3 linked regions of the Drosophila melanogaster genome follow. The protein of the gene in region 1 interacts with the protein of each later gene in a pairwise test. Each region holds a gene or a part of one and is shown on either strand. Other genes may lie near its edges.

Region 1 (4,046 bases):
TTGTGGGGTGAGAGAGATGGGAGAGATTTGGTGCTTTCTAGGCGGGAACCGACGGACGACTTGGCTTACCACATCTTCCATCCACTTTATATACCGGCGTTTAATGTGCGCAGCAGCCGCGAATTAACATCTTTCAGTCCCATTACGCCATAACCAAAAAATACAGAAATATACCCAAAACAAAAGCGAAAGAAAAAACGGAAAAAACACAAAAGAAATTCTATGGAAGCGCGCAGAATGTGACTTAATAAAACACTCACATCTTAGCGACAACATTTGCATATTTGTGATTCAGCGACTTGGCTTAAACGTAAGTCAACAAGAAAAAACAGAGGTCAAGTGATAAAGCCCATGATGATGGGGCACTGTAATGAGATCGATTTGGGCCGGTTATACGAATATTCCAGCAATCGAAAAAAATCCCACCAAGACACGTCATAAACTTGTTTCTCATTCGCTGCCAGTCAATCCATCACTTAAAGTGCCCGAAATATCTAGGCAAGCTGATTGATTGCCAATGTTTAGGAAACTGCATAGCATATTAGCATAGTGCTACACACACGCTCCAGAAGACAAAGGGGCATAAATTAAGATACATTTGAGGTGCGCTTATAACGAGTCCATATATCGGTTTCGGATTCGAATCGCACGCGATCCATCAGTCATCAGTCATCACACGGGAAACTACTTGGCCACCGTGAGTGTGTGCAAAAAGCATCGGCTAGTAGTAAAGTGAGTAAGCCAAATTGTATGTCAAATGTGAAAAATGCACTAAGCCAGCGGCAAACAACTCTTCCTCTCGGCGAAAAACTGCAATTTGAAAAGCCGCCCGAAGGCCAAAGCAAAACGCGGGCAACCGCGAAATTGGCCAAGTAACATGGAAAACGAACGAAAGGGAAAAACCAACGGGTAGCGGGAGTTGGCCAAAAATCTCGGGCGATGTTCATCATGTTCGTGATCATCTTCCAACGCCGAGTTGGCTGGATTTTGGCAGCAGCTATTGCTGTAATTTTTATGAATTGCAACTGACATTTCCTACACGCTGGAAAAGTTTAAAGTTTAAGCCGAAAACTCTTTAGTTTAAGCCTTAGCCGGCCGGCAAAAATGTGCCAAATGGGAGCGAGTTACTGGTGCAGCTGGGAGTGGTGCCTGGTCGACCTGGTCAGCGAAATTGGCCTAAAAGGGCAGGCTCACCCGGTCTACATAGGGAAAACAAAGACAAATAATACTCTTTAACAATGCATTGAAATGGACAAGCTGGCTACGCCCCATCCCGCGGCCCATTCAAATGTCAGTCGGCAGAGATTCTATCTCGACTCATTGGCAGGCATGTGGCCAAATGGCCAATTCATCAAATCGAAACCAATTGCAACATCTGTAATCTTTTAATTAATATTTGACTTAACGAATTATTGCATCCAGTCGAGCATCCAGCGGGGGCACTAATCAAATGAAGTTCGCATTGCTAATTCACATAAATTACACCGCGGAGAACTGTGAGCTGTAAGCTGCATACGCGGCGTATGCGCAACGCCCATTTGCATTTGAAACTCGTTGCGCATACGCTACGTGGTGCACTGGCAGCGACGGCAGCTCTTCCGATTCTGTTGCTGTCAGGCAGACAAACACTGTTTGTTTCGAATCCCGCTCGGCCTCCGCTCGTCGTCGGCTCCTCCTGCCCTTCCAGCCGCCAAATCTGCAAATCTGGGCTGCTGCACTGCATCTGGCTGCGGATGCTGCTTCTGCCGCTGCTCTGCTGTGAGCTGCAGTGAATGCGATTTCGGTATAAAAACGTTTGTGGCAACTGCAGCCAAGTCAAAGCACTTTTGACGAGCCTCCCAGCGCAGTACCCGCTATCAAGTCGCGAATCCGAAGTGAGTTTAAGTTCTAGTTGCGGTGGTGACTCCTTGAAGACAGGATCACACACAGATACATAGATCAGACACATAAGCTACAACTTGCGAGCGAGTGCAGAGACAAGTGGAGTTGATCCTGCATAAAGGATAACCAAAGTTTAAATTCAAAAGATCACAGTCATCTCCTGGATTTCAAGCCCCTTTTGGATATTTTTCCCACGACCTCCACCATCATAATCATCATAATTTCGCAGAACTTTCAAATCGCAAAAGCCAATCGGAGTATATCACATACTAATTGCCATGCAACGAGTTTGACATTCAAAGACAACGCCGGCGGCATCTCAATCGAGCGCCAAACACTGAAAACCATACGCCAAACACCAAACACCGCACCTCATCTGCAGTACTTACTTATGACTCTATTTAACCACCGTACCACCGCGCGGTTCCCCCCATCTTCTCTTTTGCCCACTAAAGGTCATGTCGCTCACCCACGCCTCCGCCGCAGCCCTCGTCTTGGCCCTCTGCTGCCTCAGTTTCATTCAGGCGCAGCCACAACGCGGACTTCCCCCACCACGCGGCAACTCCTTCGACGCGAACGCGGTGATTCTCAAGCAGAACTTCGACCTGAATCCCGATGGCTCCTATCAGTACAAGTAAGTTGGATCCAGGGATGGTAGGATCAATTTCAGGATTTGGAATGGATAAAAACAAATCGAACAATCTGAAATTAAGTTCAATTAGGATCATATAGAGAATCCTACAAAACATTGCATTTTAATAGCTTTAAAATTTTTTAATATCTTCATATGTGAGAAGCTCTTTGGAATCAAAAAAAATCAAGGATTTTAAATTTAAATCCATGTGTTTTTTTTTCTTTTTTAAGTGTTTCTAATGAGTATTATTATAAATTTTTAAAACTTGTAGCTACGAGACAAGCAACGGAATCCGAGCGGATGAGGCTGGCTATTTGAAGAACCCGGGCAGTCAGATCGAGGCTCAGGTTAGTGTGCTTTTCAGTGCAGCATTCAGCATATTGTAGCCTATTTTTCGGTGGTGCTGAAACTCTTTATTTCCCTGCACTTACAGGTGATGCAGGGCTCCTACTCGTACACCGGACCCGATGGCGTGGTCTACACCATCACCTACATTGCTGATGAGAACGGATACCGCGCCGAAGGAGCCCACATACCCACACCGCCACCAGTTCGCGCCGCCGCCGCTCCCGGAAGATTCTTCAAGTAATCCGCTCCGCTGTAGAATCGTGTTTTAATTCTTCATCGTTATGATCAAGTTGGCAATCATTTCGTTGTGGGTCAGTGCCGAACTGGCCGAAAGTGAACCAGAAACAGACAGGAGAGAGAGAGAGAGAGAGAGAGCAGCTGCTCGTTGGAGATCCTTTATCCCACCCATAATCATTTCCATTTTATTCCTGCCCCTGAAAAATCTCACTACCTTCGTGCTTCATCTGTGCATTTCTACAGCCAATTCAAATTCTACATTCTACTTAGTGCTTAACGAACAATATGTGAGATTATCATATGTAAATTACGTAAGATCGATTGTTAAATGTCGTACGGCAACGCATGCTCAGCAATAAAACAAAAATTGCACAAAAATCAATCCAAAGCCTTGTGGTCAAACCACATTTAGGAGAATGATCTCAGCATTGTGATGTAGGACATCGCCGTGCGAACAATCTAAAAACGGAAAGTTAGAAAAGAGTATTCATGTAAATCCATGTATTGTACAATGGAAATGATTCACCCACCGATGAGAAGGCCTCCATGTTTGCCTCGAAAAAGTATCCCGTAATGCGGAATCCCCGATGAGCCCGCATCATGCTGATCAGCAAGGATCGGCAGATCGAGGTAGAGGCTCCACCAGCACCCAAACTCTCGTGCCACGGACTGTCGTAGATGGCCCACTCGAAGCTGGCACTCTCCGTCTTCAGGTTCTCCCCGCAGTAGCAGTAGATATAGGCTTGTATAATGATTGTGGCTATGAATGAGGCATAGTAGACGCCCTCTGTCTGGGCAAAAGTAATGGAGAACAGATATCCCAGCATGCAGAGTTGCAGAGATGAAATGAAGAACTGGGCGCAGATAATCGGTTGGTAGCACTGATTCAGATCGTTGCACATATCCAAGCTGGTCTGGTACAGGGCAAAGACTTTGTTCAATGTGG
Region 2 (8,018 bases), on another chromosome or scaffold:
GAACGACTATAGGTATTTTTGTAGGAATTGATTTATAATTAGTAATCGTCCTTTCCAGATCTTTCTAATTAGGCATTGACTATTTCCAGGTATTATTGATGCTGGTGGCCGAAACGCTACTCTGTCCCTGCAGTCCCGTACAGGACACACCAACCTGCAGGCAGTGGTGGGCATGCTGGCTTTCACCCAGTACTGGTACTGGTTCCCCCTGGCCCACACCCTTTCCCTTGCCTTCACACCCACCTGTGTGATCGGCCTGAACTCCGATCTGAAAATGCCCAAGATGGAGTACAAGTCGGCGGCCAAGCCCTCGTTATACGCATATCCCGCCCCACTGGAGGAGAAGAAGAGCGAGGAGCGCGAGAAGGTGGCCACCGCAGTTCTGTCCATTGCCGCCCGCCAGAAGAGACGCGAGAATGCCGACAAAAAAGAGGATGAGAAGATGGATGTGGACGAGGACAGCAAGGAGGGTGCTGCTGTCAAGAAGGACGAAGAAGCCAAGGCCGATGAGAAGATGGTAACGGATGAGAAACCCAAGAAGAAGGATGAGAAGGAAAAGAAAAAGGAAGAGGATAAGGAAAAGGAGGCAGCTGGCACCAGCAGCGAAAAGGATAAGGATAAGGAGAAGGACAAGAAGGAGAAGAAGGAGCCAGAGCCGACCTCCGAAATCCTGCAGAATCCCGCCCGCGTTCTTCGCCAGCAACTGAAGGTCCTTAGCGTTATTGATGGCCAGTCGTATGAGCCGCTGAAGGATGTCACTATCGGTGGAATTATTGTATTCCAGCACACTGGCAAAGCAGAGGACCAGGAGCTCGTTGAGCCAGTTGCCGCATTTGGACCGATGAACGACGAGGAAAAGGAGCCGGAGCCCCCAGAGCCCTTTGAGTACATCGAGGACTAAATGGGCATGCTGTTTGTCATTATCTAAGTGAATCCTGTTCGATTTTCAACCTTGCTTACGTTTCATGAGAACAACTAATCGGCAAGAACACGAAATGCTAATCCCTAATTATAACACAATAAATGGTCATCATATTAGATGTAAATAATGTCTACTTTGGTTTATGGTGGTAGTCGCCAACCTATTTTTTATCTCCTTAGAACTCGATCAAGAAGATTGTTTCGCCACCCGCCGAAAGATCCGCCTCTCAAACATAAATAAGTGATTTCACAACGCTCGGCAATTGCCCACAGTCTCTCTGAATTTGTAGAAGCGCTCTCTACCATGGCCGTTTTTTAAAGGGGATTGGTGCACCGTGGCCTCAAGGTAAACTTATGTTTGGATTTTAAGATGGTTAATTGCAATCGAATCGGGTTGGTATTCAATTATTATAAATATAAGCATATGATCGTATATGCAGTTAAAAAATGATCTTTGGAAATCATATGTTTTTAAGCTAAATGCCCATGTGCGTTGCCAAGGGAACTTGATATTTGCAAACAATTATTCAACAAGTAAATGATCAATATGTTTATAACTTTTATGGCTGGTTCCAACCACTTTCGTTGCAAAGAAGGGACAAATACAAACACTATATAAATCACTGTTATTATCCGTGGACAAGCACTGAAAAGCAAGTGCACTTCAACGGTGCGTCGGCCTAGAGATACCGTGTTGAAATCAGTGCTTCACTATTTGCCCTCCTACTGCTTATGAAGATGCAGATCATAGCGCAAATTAACATATTATTTTTACCTTCTGAAGATTACATATTTCAAAAGAATATGTCATCTGTTTTTAAGATTATTTAGTAGGTAGAAAACAAATGCCATTACCATGTGACAAAAAATTTGACGGACTCAGAACACCTCTCTTAACTCTTCTTTTAAAGGGTATAAAATGCGACTAGGTGGCAACGCTGCGAGCACTCTCTCGCGCTCGGGTATAAATGAAGAGCTATTTCTTTAGCCCAGCTCAGTAGGTTTTTTTTGTTGTTCCGTGCGGGTGCTCATTTCGCGTAATATTAGTGTAAATTCCCATAGCTCCTAGTGTTGACCAGATTGTGAACGTTGTGCCAGACGTCTGTTAATTAGCATATAGCACAACGAATATATATACCAAAAACCCGGCAAAATTACAACTCATCTCCGACGCAGTAGCCAGTTCTTTGTTACTGCTGCTCGCGCAAATAACGGTAAATGTGGATAACGGTGGATAAATCACTGCTGACCTCGACCTAGACAACAAATTTGTACATAGCTATGTACATTGTATAAACCGAAAGCGACAAACCGATTTGTTGTTGCCGGCTATGCATTATTGATTTTCAACATCCAATTCGACAGGAGAGCGTTGGACAGGGGGGAGTGGAGCGGAGAAAGCCAGTGAATCAGTGCCGCAACGTAACGGTAAACCCCCGATCCCGGCCACCTTAGAACCAGTACCCATCCCAAAGTTATGAACCGCACCAGGAGGAAGGTGGTGCGCCCAAAGAATCCCTTCACCAAAGCCAACTTCTTCTCACAATGGAGCTTCTGGTGAGTTTAACTACAAACGTGTGGATATGTAGAATTAATCAAAACATGAAAACAGACTTGGAGTCACTCCTGTATTAGTCATGAGAATATCACTTACGGTAAATCAAATGTACTATTCTGTAGCACGTGTTCTCACCATATTGTAGTATCAGGTTCGTATCAGGGCAGCACCTATCGTATAATTAGTTTAGTTGTATTAGCCTTTTTGGACCGATAAGTTTGGTGTGCTTGATAAGGTTCCCGTTATAATGAGAATGGCAATTCGATGGCACAGTTTTATTAAATGTCACCGCGGGCCACAAGGTTACATCTTTATCTGGCGTCGACAATGAACGCTTGCCAATTGCAACCAGATGGATCTGGCACCAGGGGTTTATTACGATTTCCTCCAATAAACAAAGCGTTCATAGTCTGACTAGAGCTGATAAGGCTGAAATTTTAATTCACTATTCAATGTCACATTTACTACGAATATTCAAATGTTCGCTCTACGGCTAGACAATTTACAATGTATGTACACAATAAGACTGAATTGTAATTTATGAAAAAGTCTTAGCGATTCCAGGCAGGGCCGTCACATGAGCGCGGTTTTAATTTAAGATCGTGGAGTTCGATTGCCCGTTTTCTCATGATTTTTCAGTAGGTACATAAAGAAAAGTAATTCGTCAGAAGACTGAATCAATTGGTCTTAGTTTTGCGTACCCTGAGCGTACGATTCCGATCCGAGTTTATGGTGATTTTAAGACAACAAAGTCTGTAAACCAATTTGGATTTTTATAACCTGTATTTTGCCTCGATAGAATCGAGTCGCCCATAGATCCAATATTCAAATGATTAACGCGAATCAATTAACGCCCATTTGGTGTTGATGTTCACAAATACTACATGTCTACATTCATAATTTTATTGTTAGTTAATTTGGACGATAATCTGCTGACATGGAATAAGCAACATTACTGAACATTCAAATTAACATTTATACTGTCTTACTACCCAGTTTCCACACTATACATGCATATATAGATATGTGCAAGTGTCTACACACGTACAAGCGTTTTATTAAAATGTAATCAAACAATGCCTCCGGGGGTTTTCGCAAATCTTGGACTGACGAAATTCCCAAGAAAATGATGTCGCTTGCAGGCCTTGTCTATGTTTTATCAGAGGAGTTCCCTTAAGCAAAATAGCGCCTACTGTATCTAAATTGGGGTCTTCGTTACATAGACTTTACTTAATCAAACACCAATAAAGAGTAGGAAATCGTATAAAATCTTAGGGCCTAACAACCGAATATGACCTTGTCTCACTCATTATCAGAACATTTAAAGGTCTTCTGTAGTACTACTGTATTGCCATCGTAAGCCTTAACATGTGCGCCTTTAGTTTAATTGCAATTAAACTAAGATAAGGATATCAGGATTTAAGTGCTTTAAAGTAGTTATACTGTAGGTTTCTGTGTTACTACTCTGACCTTTTAATCTTTCAGGTGGATGCGAGACCTGTTCAAGCGAGGCCTCCAGGGACCGCTGACGGACGAGGAGCTGTATCAACATAGAAAGACCCTGGATAGTGAAAGAGTGACGAACAAATTTGCGGAACTGTGGGAGGATGAGCTAAAACGAAGTAATCCCAGTGTGGTGAGGATGATCCTTCGAGCATATGGCAAGATTTTCGTGCCCATGGGGCTGGCGTTCTCCATAAGCGAAACGATTTGCAAGTAGGTAGAAACGGATGCTAATTTAACTCCCGTGCTAATCCCATTTACTTTTTGTTCGTTCAGATCTCTCATGCCGCTATTCCTGGGCGGTCTGGTCGGTTACTTTGCCACAAATCAGACGGATATCAGTGAAAACACAGCATATTTGTATGCCATGGGAATTGTGATTTGCATGCTGGTGCCTGTGATAACGTTCCACCCTTTCATCTTCTACATATTTCAAGTGGGCACCAAGCTGCGGTTGGCCCTTTCGGGTCTCATCTACCGCAAGGTCCTGCAGGTCTCGAAGAGCAGCAGTAACGATGGTCTGCGAGGAAGAGCAATCAATATTTTGTCCAACGACCTTGGGCGCTTCGACGTGGCGCTGTGTTTCCTTCATGATACATGGAAAGGGCCGATGGAGTCGATACTGATTGGCTTTCTCATGTACCGTGAAATCGGTATATCGGCTGTGATCGGTGTGTCCTTTATGCTCAGCTTTATCCCACTGCAAGCGTGGGCAGCCAAGAAAGCCGCCTACTATCGCCAAATGACGGCAGAGCGAACGGATATGCGTGTCAAGCTGATGAACGAGATCATCCAGGGCATTCAGGTGATCAAGATGTATGCGTGGGAGAAAAGCTTTGCCCGGGTCATCGCCGAAGTTCGCCTCAAGGAGGTGAAGGCCATTCGAGGCACTGCCTACATCCATGCCGCTCTTGGTTGCACCTCCATGATATCGCCGCTATCTGTGTTCCTGGCCCTCTGCTCCTACGTTTACCTTGGTGATCCCTTGACCGCCCAAAAGGTTTACACAGTTTCATCCTATTTCAACATGCTTAACGATTCTATGGTAACCTTTTGGCCTATGTCTATCACGTTTATTGCCGAGGCCTTGGTCTCGGCGAAACGTTGCAAAGATTTTCTACTAGACGGAGACAAAGCGGAGGTGCCCATAAACTTGGAAGCAAATCAACAAACAGGCAAAAACAAGCGCAAAATCAGCAAAAAGGACAAACAAAAGAACGTAGAGTTAAACGGTTCCTTGCTGTCCAATGGCCAAGTCCACCACAATCGTCTAAGGGATTATGATCCGGAGGCAACGAAAAAATGTGTGGTGCTTAAAAATGTATCTGCTTCCTGGGACACCAGTGATGGTCATGCCAACTGTGCCATCGAGGACTTTAGCACGGACATAAAGGACCAAACTCTGGCTGCTGTCGTTGGACCTGTGGGTGCCGGCAAGTCCAGCTTTTTGAACGTCCTGCTTGGCGAAGTCGGCATCGATAAGGGTGAAGCCATGGTCCACGGCAAGATCTCGTATGCCTCACAGGAAAGCTGGGTCTTCGAGGGAACTATTCGAGACAACATTGTTTTTGTTGAGGATTACAACGAGAGACGGTACAAGAAGGTGGTGAAGGTGTGTGGCTTGGAGCGGGATATGGAGTTGTTGCCTCGCGGAGATTTGACAGTGGTTGGAGAGCGAGGAGTGAGTCTCAGTGGTGGGCAAAAGGCGCGAGTGAGTTTAGCTCGAGCAGTCTACCGCAAGGCGGACATATATCTTCTGGATGACCCTCTGTCTGCTGTGGATACCCACGTTGGCAAGCACATCTTCGATCGCTGTATACGCGACTTTCTGTCCAACAAGATTAGAATTCTAGTCACCCATCAGGTGCAATATCTGTTCGATGTGGAGCACCTGCTGTTGATGGGGTCCGGAAAGATTATGGCCCAGGGCAGCTACCAGGAACTCCAGCGCTCCCGCCAGTTTCAATTCCTAGAGCAGACGCAGCACGACGAGAGCGGCATCGATACTCACAGTGTCAGCAGCTATTTGTCTCGTAGCGATTCCGAGAAGAGCATGGAGCATCAGCACAACCAGCTGCTTCGACCGGACGAGCATGTAGAGGACGTCAACCAGGAGCAGCAAACTGTGGGTTCCATCAAAATGCACGTCTACGCCTCATACATCAAAGCCTTGGATAGTACCTTTTTGTTGGGCATTGTTATTTCTTTGTTCGTCTGCGCCAGGATTATGTTAACCGGAGTGGATTACTTCTTGTCTAGATGGTAAACTATTTAAAAATTCATTTTGGATTTCTATTACTAATTAATAAACGCATATTCCAGGGTCATTTGGGAAGAGCAAATAGCTGTTAATCGCACTACAACGCTACTAAACGAAACCGACACGACGATTGCCAATGATACGCTGCCGATTAATGCCACGGATCCATATATAGCGCCTTTATTAGCTAGCGATATCCAGGCAGGCATTCGTCAGGAGCTTGTACTCTTCTATGCCACCATACTGGGCGCCACACTGATAGTCTACCTGATTCGCACCTTTGGCTTCTTCAAAATGTGCCTGCGCATCTCTCTGCACCTGCACGACAGGCTCTTCCGGGGAATCACTCGGGCCAGCATGTACTTCTTCAATACGAACTCCTCAGGACGAATTCTGAATCGCTTCTCCAAGGATATAAGGACAGTGGATACGGATCTGCCGCACACACTGCTGGACTGCCTCGCCTTCATTATCGATGTTTCTGGCGTTGTCATTATTGTGGCGATTGCAAACTATTGGCTCCTGATTCCAGCTGCCATCATTGGTGTTATTCTGGGCATGATACGCTACCTCTACGTAAACACCAGTCGCAGTGTTAAGCGCTTGGAGTCTATATGTAAGTATGAATTGTGTAATTGCGGCTCAGTACAACAGTAAGGTTTTATTAGAATTGGCAAATAGTCATATTTTTGTTATATTTCCAATTTTTGATGAGTTCAAAAACCTAAAGCCCTTTTTTGCATTTCTTTTTTTTCCAGCTCGCAGTCCTGTTTTCTCGCTGACTAACCAAACCTTCCAGGGTCTCACCACCATACGCGCTTTGCAGGCCCAAAGCGCCTTGGAGCAGGAGTTCCATGAGTACCAGAACACCAACACCTCCGCCTGGTTTCTCTTCCTTTCCTGCACTCGTGCCTTTGCCTTGTGGTCAGACGTGCTGTGTATCGTCTATATGACGGCGGTAACATTCAGCTTTCTGCTGCTTAAGGACGAGTTCGACAGCGGCGACGTGGGATTGGCCATTTTGCACTCCACCACGATGACTGGAATGTGCCAGTGGGGCATGCGGCAGACAGCGGAGCTGGAAAACCAGATGACCAGTGTAGAGCGAGTGCTCGAGTATACGGAACAGCCGTCGGAGGCACTTCTGGAGACGCCGGAGAAATTCAAGCCAAAGAGCGAGTGGCCCAGCAAGGGACGCATCGAGTTCATAAACTTCAAGTTGCGTTACTCACCCAAAGAAGCACCCGTGTTAAAGGATCTTAACTTCACTATAGAACCGCGCGAAAAAATAGGAATTGTGGGGCGCACTGGCGCCGGTAAATCGTCCATCATCCAGTCCATCTTCCGTTTGGCCTGCAACGAGGGTATGATCCGCATTGATGACGTGGACATTGAGCATATAGGCTTGCACGATCTGCGCAGTCAGGTTTCAATCATACCCCAAGATCCGGTTTTGTTTTCCGGCACTTTGCGCTACAACTTGGATCCCATGGACGAGCGTTCGGACGAGGAGATGTGGAAGGCTCTGGGCGATGTGGAGTTGCGTTCCTACGTGTCAACTTTAATTGGTGGACTGAACTGCCGTATGTACGACGGGGGTTCCAACTTTAGCGTGGGCCAGAGGCAGTTAGTGTGCCTGGCGAGAGCCATCCTAAGGCACAATAAAATACTGATTATGGACGAGGCTACAGCCAACGTTGATCCAGAGTAAGTAACGGAGATAAAGAAGTTTATTTGTATATAGTATATAAATTTTTATAACCCTTGCAGAACCGA
Region 3 (4,378 bases), on another chromosome or scaffold:
TCTCGGTTGGCTTGGCTTCTGCAGCGGCTTTGGCTGCCCGCAGACGTCACCAGTTTGGACGCCCGCTGCCATTAGCCACCCACCATTCCGTGCTAAGTTGTAGCTAGTGTTTTGTCATTGGTTTATGCTGCGCTCCGTAAACATATGGCAGCATACTTGACTTTCGCTGACTTTCGGCTGAATGGCACGATTCGGCTGAATGGAGTCACTTGCTCCTGCGGTTCGAATGGCGAAGGGACTACTGACGACTGGAGGAGGACTATTCATAAACATGGGCGCAATTGCCTCTTACGCGTAATGGCTGCGAAAGGGCTTCAACTTTGACCTTAGCCCAAATAGGTTCATAAAGCCTCGAGCACCCAAGCCTTTAAACTGCAGGCCAAGCGAAAAGTGAAGACAGCTGGGGCAACTTTCGCCGGCTTTTCATGCCGACTTGATTGTTGCCTCCTCCCGAGTTTTAAGTGCGAGATGGGATTCACACACTTTGATTTCATTTGCCATAAATTCTGTTTTCCAGGGAAATCCCTTCTTAGACTCCTCATTGCATTTTAAATTTAATTTTATGAACTCCACATAAATTAACATTGGGTAATGTTTGCTTGATTGGTTGCCGGAAAAATAACTCAAGAGATAAATAAGTTGCAGTTTTTATTTGTTTTTCAATACAACTTATGTAATATAAACGAAAAATAAGAAATACTTTTGTATACACTAAATTATTAAGGCTTGGGTCTTGAATGTTTCATACATATATAAAAAACCAGCACAATGTAAGCATTTACATTAGGCTTAATAATATATTAAACAGGTTTATCAATAGTGGAAAAAAGAAAACGAAATATTCATTGAAACAATCGAAGATGATGAGGAATTGGCGTACTTAGGTAACGTGTAATTAAATACTAATTTTGTTGGGTTTATCAGCTGCTTCTCAAGCAACTCAAAGACGCGAAGAAATCCAACTGACCTATATATAACCATAGTCTGAATATTAAAACAGAAATCCTTCGCCTACATTTCAATTAATTTAAAACGCTGTCGCACTCAACGAGCTTCCTATCCGTGAATGAAAGCTCAACCGGGGGACGTCAATTCACTGCCTGTCGGCGACCAGTCGTATCCACCTGTCCGTCTGCGTCCTGCCACCTGTACTGGTGGTACTGGTGGGCGGCGCGTTCGCGGCCCGATAATGCCGAACATATGGCGAGTCGCATGCGCCGAACGAACGCACAGGCCTTCGATGCGAATATTAAGGGTCCTGCTTTAAATTACAATTAATTTTTAATTAGGCTTAAATTAACATTTTCAAAGACGCTTTGGAGCTGCATTAATCAATTAGCGTACTCGTATACAGAATGCTCAGGCAAGGGGGCACGCAAGTCAAGCGAAACAAAACGAAATATCTTAAACTCTAACTTTGCTCATCACAATTGGTACTCGCTGAAGGGAAGCTGATTGTATTCAGGGGCTGGTTACCTAATCGGGTTTCATTTCCGGCTGCCAAAGAGTTTGCCGCGCGCTGCAGGGAACGAAATGATGAGTTTGCTTTGGTCTAGAAATGTTTGACTTCACTCTGGCACTTACCATGCGATGTGGCTGGGGACAGAGCGTGCGAACTGGCGTGCCGTTTGATGCGCGGAGTATCCCTTAGCTCTGAACCAGATGCGGAGGAGGCACTTGTGCAGGCATTTGAATTGGCCGTCACATTGGTCAGGGTGGACACTCCGCTGCACGAATCCCCTGTGGTTGGCATTGATTTGTAGCGCTGCAGCGAGGTGCGCGGCTTCTTCGGCATTGTGGCCTGCTGCACTGCCTCTTCTAGGGCGTTTAGCCAGTCCTCGCCCTCGCTTTCGTCTTCCAGAAATTTCATGTAGAAGGAGGGTCGCTTTGCCGTGTGGTGCCTAGTGGGTGTGGTGCTTGTGCTTGATTTGGGAGGTTCATGGTGTTCTATTTTCGACTCCAGTTGCTGGGAGGCCTCAAGCAGGAAGAGATCCGTCTCCGAGTCGTTGAGGAAGTCTGCCATTGGATCGGAGGCAGCTACAGGGGAAAGCACTGGCTCTGGCGTAGCCTTCGTGCAGGTTAATCTTGTGCGGGGAGCAACAGGTGACGGAGCTTTAGGAGTTTTTAGTGGCATTACTGGTTCGGACACAGCTATTTGCTCCAACTGGCTATTGAGCCTAGCACAGCGCTCCTTAAGAAGAACATTAGCCCGCATCTGCTGTGCCCGCCACTGCTCATTGTCCAGTTGGCTGCGTCTATCCTCGACGCCCTTAAAGGCTATCTGCCGGCGTCGTTCGCGCTGGCTCAAACTGCCTATTTCCGCGGAGTCGAAGCCACTGTCCGTGGTGGCATTGCTGCTTCGGTTCCAGCGCCAGCCCACCTCCGGACTTTCGGTGGCCAGTGTCTGGGAGAAGAGGCAGCTGGGCGAAAGGCTGATGTCCAAACGGGGCGAGAAGTCCACACTGTCGTCCAAGCTGGGCTTGTGTTTGTGTGGTGGAGTGCTCTCCAGGTCGGACGTGATTCCCACTACTGCTGAGGAGTTGGGCGAGCCGGGAGTGTCCACGGATACACTTACATTGTGCCCTGTGCGTACGCTCTGTGGTGAAGCTATTAACAAAGGATTGTTTTATGGATATTCCTGATTTTTCGAGCTTGGAAATCCTTACCACTGTGGCGCTTATGCAGCAGACGCGTGCTGAGCGTTAAAGATCGCCGTTTAAGTGCGTTCTCCATAACTTTGACTTAACAATAAAGTGAACTGCAGTCAATTATTTAACTAATCAAATTTGTTTTGTTTTGCGCTGCGGAATGCGCTAAAAATTAAAGTAAGCCGACAGTGTTGCCAGATGGCACTGTCAAAACTCACATGGTCACTCTGCTATTCAACTCGTTTTGTTTATAGCCCTTTTCCACTTAAACGCATAGTTTAATAAAAAAATCCACTCTCCAAAATCTATGAAAATATTTTATCTTTAAAATACAATCAATTTAAATTTTCATCTACATATGTTCTTTTATATAATGGCTGACTTGATGATATTTCTGTTACCACCAATGCAAGAAATCAGTTATTTGAGTACTGAGACATCCATTGGCACATAAATCCATATATCGCAATAAGATGAACAATAGGAAATTGTCTTAAAGAAAGTTTAGTGTATAAATAAAATAGTGTATAAATTTACATATAAGTAAACTTACGGAGTAAACGTTATAAAAATAGAGAAATGTACAAATATACAAAATATAATACAAAAAAAAAAAAAAACAAAGATATCTATAATTTTTTTTTGTAACTTTTAGTATTTTATCTATCGGAGTGCAAACATTCTGGTAGGCGGTCATGCTTTGGTATTTGGCAACACTAAACTCCGGTCACACAACAAAATGCTTATGGTGATGTGTTAAAAAGCGAAATTTTGAATACAATTTACTGATCCAGAAAGATGAACTACAATCCAAATCCGGGTATGCGGAACCGTAAGTGGGAGAACTGTAAGGATCAGGCTACGCAAGCAAGTATACCTGAAGGATGTCCGGTGCAGCCACTCCGGAATTTCCCCACCCGCCGCTGACCGGAATCGGAATCCGGAGTGCTGTCACTGTTTACGTTACACGTTACCCCGTTTTGTGCGCCGCTCCTGGCTTCCACTGCATCCTGCTCCCCAGTTTCTATGCCTGCTGTGCGTTTCCGTTCCGTGATGCGTGTGTAGCTTGAGTGCCTGTGTTCCCCGCTTCCCAGTTGTATCGTTTAGATCCTCCGGCACTAACTAATGGTTGCTCTGTCCCAAAATAGCCTCAGCTGCCGGTCGCCCAAGGCCGCCGAAGCGTGTGAGTGATGTTAACGCCATGGGACCCTCGGCTCCGATGATGGGCGGTGGCGCCACCTTCATGGCCCCGCCCACCGGCCCCGGAATACTAGATCCCAATATGTACGGAGCACCTGCTCCGGCCCCGGTCAACAGCTATGGCTTCGACCCCAATCTCGGCCAGCCCTCGCAGCACATTCAGCAGCCACCACAACAGCAGCCCGGATACGGATATGGAGCACCACCTCCCCAACAGGCGGCTGGGCCACCCACCTACGGAATAGGAGCACCTCAGCCTGTAGCTCCACCCACTGGACAGTACCCACAGTTCGCCATGTTCCAGCAGCCCATCGTGCAAGACATGGCTATGCAGTACGGTCAGAAACTAGCGGATCAGGGCAAGCAGATCATGGAGAATCAGTTCGAGAAGTGGGTGCCCGTAGCCAAGCTCAAGTACTACTTCGCAGTGGACAACGCCTACGTGGGCAGGAAGTTGCGCCTTCTGTTTTTCCCCTATATGCATAAGGTGAGAGTGGTGAAGCACAAACGGAGAAACCATATAAATTACA

The links.
Region 2: the proteins of Cpr47Ea (region 1) and rdog interact in a two-hybrid assay, tested with the Drosophila melanogaster proteins (one large-scale study listed by BioGRID).
Region 3: the proteins of Cpr47Ea (region 1) and CG6425 interact in a two-hybrid assay, tested with the Drosophila melanogaster proteins (one large-scale study listed by BioGRID).

The regions. Positions count from the first base shown.
Region 1 is NT_033778.4:11,251,185-11,255,230, reverse strand, and holds Cpr47Ea (cuticular protein 47Ea), read left to right. Parts: upstream 1-1,832; 5' UTR 1,833-1,874; intron 1,875-2,336; 5' UTR 2,337-2,339; coding exon 2,340-2,515; intron 2,516-2,786; coding exon 2,787-2,862; intron 2,863-2,948; coding exon 2,949-3,104; 3' UTR 3,105-3,480; downstream 3,481-4,046. Other genes in the region: Or47a (odorant receptor 47a), read right to left, coding at 3,509-3,559, 3,631-4,046.
Region 2 is NT_033777.3:29,156,213-29,164,230, forward strand, and holds the start of rdog (red dog mine), read left to right. Parts: upstream 1-1,909; 5' UTR 1,910-2,135; exon of another isoform or gene 2,136-2,286; 5' UTR 2,287-2,398; coding exon 2,399-2,478; intron 2,479-3,964; coding exon 3,965-4,195; intron 4,196-4,258; coding exon 4,259-6,244; intron 6,245-6,304; coding exon 6,305-6,858; intron 6,859-7,000; coding exon 7,001-7,949; intron 7,950-8,012; coding exon 8,013-8,018. Other genes in the region: Rpn2 (regulatory particle non-ATPase 2), read left to right, coding at 90-901.
Region 3 is NT_033777.3:26,714,532-26,718,909, forward strand, and holds CG6425 (uncharacterized protein), read right to left. Parts: upstream 2,859-4,378; 5' UTR 2,734-2,858; coding exon 2,667-2,733; intron 2,608-2,666; coding exon 1,585-2,607; intron 1,520-1,584; coding exon 1,488-1,519; 3' UTR 634-1,487; downstream 1-633. Other genes in the region: Yif1 (Yip1-interacting factor 1), read left to right, coding at 3,447-3,495, 3,797-4,335.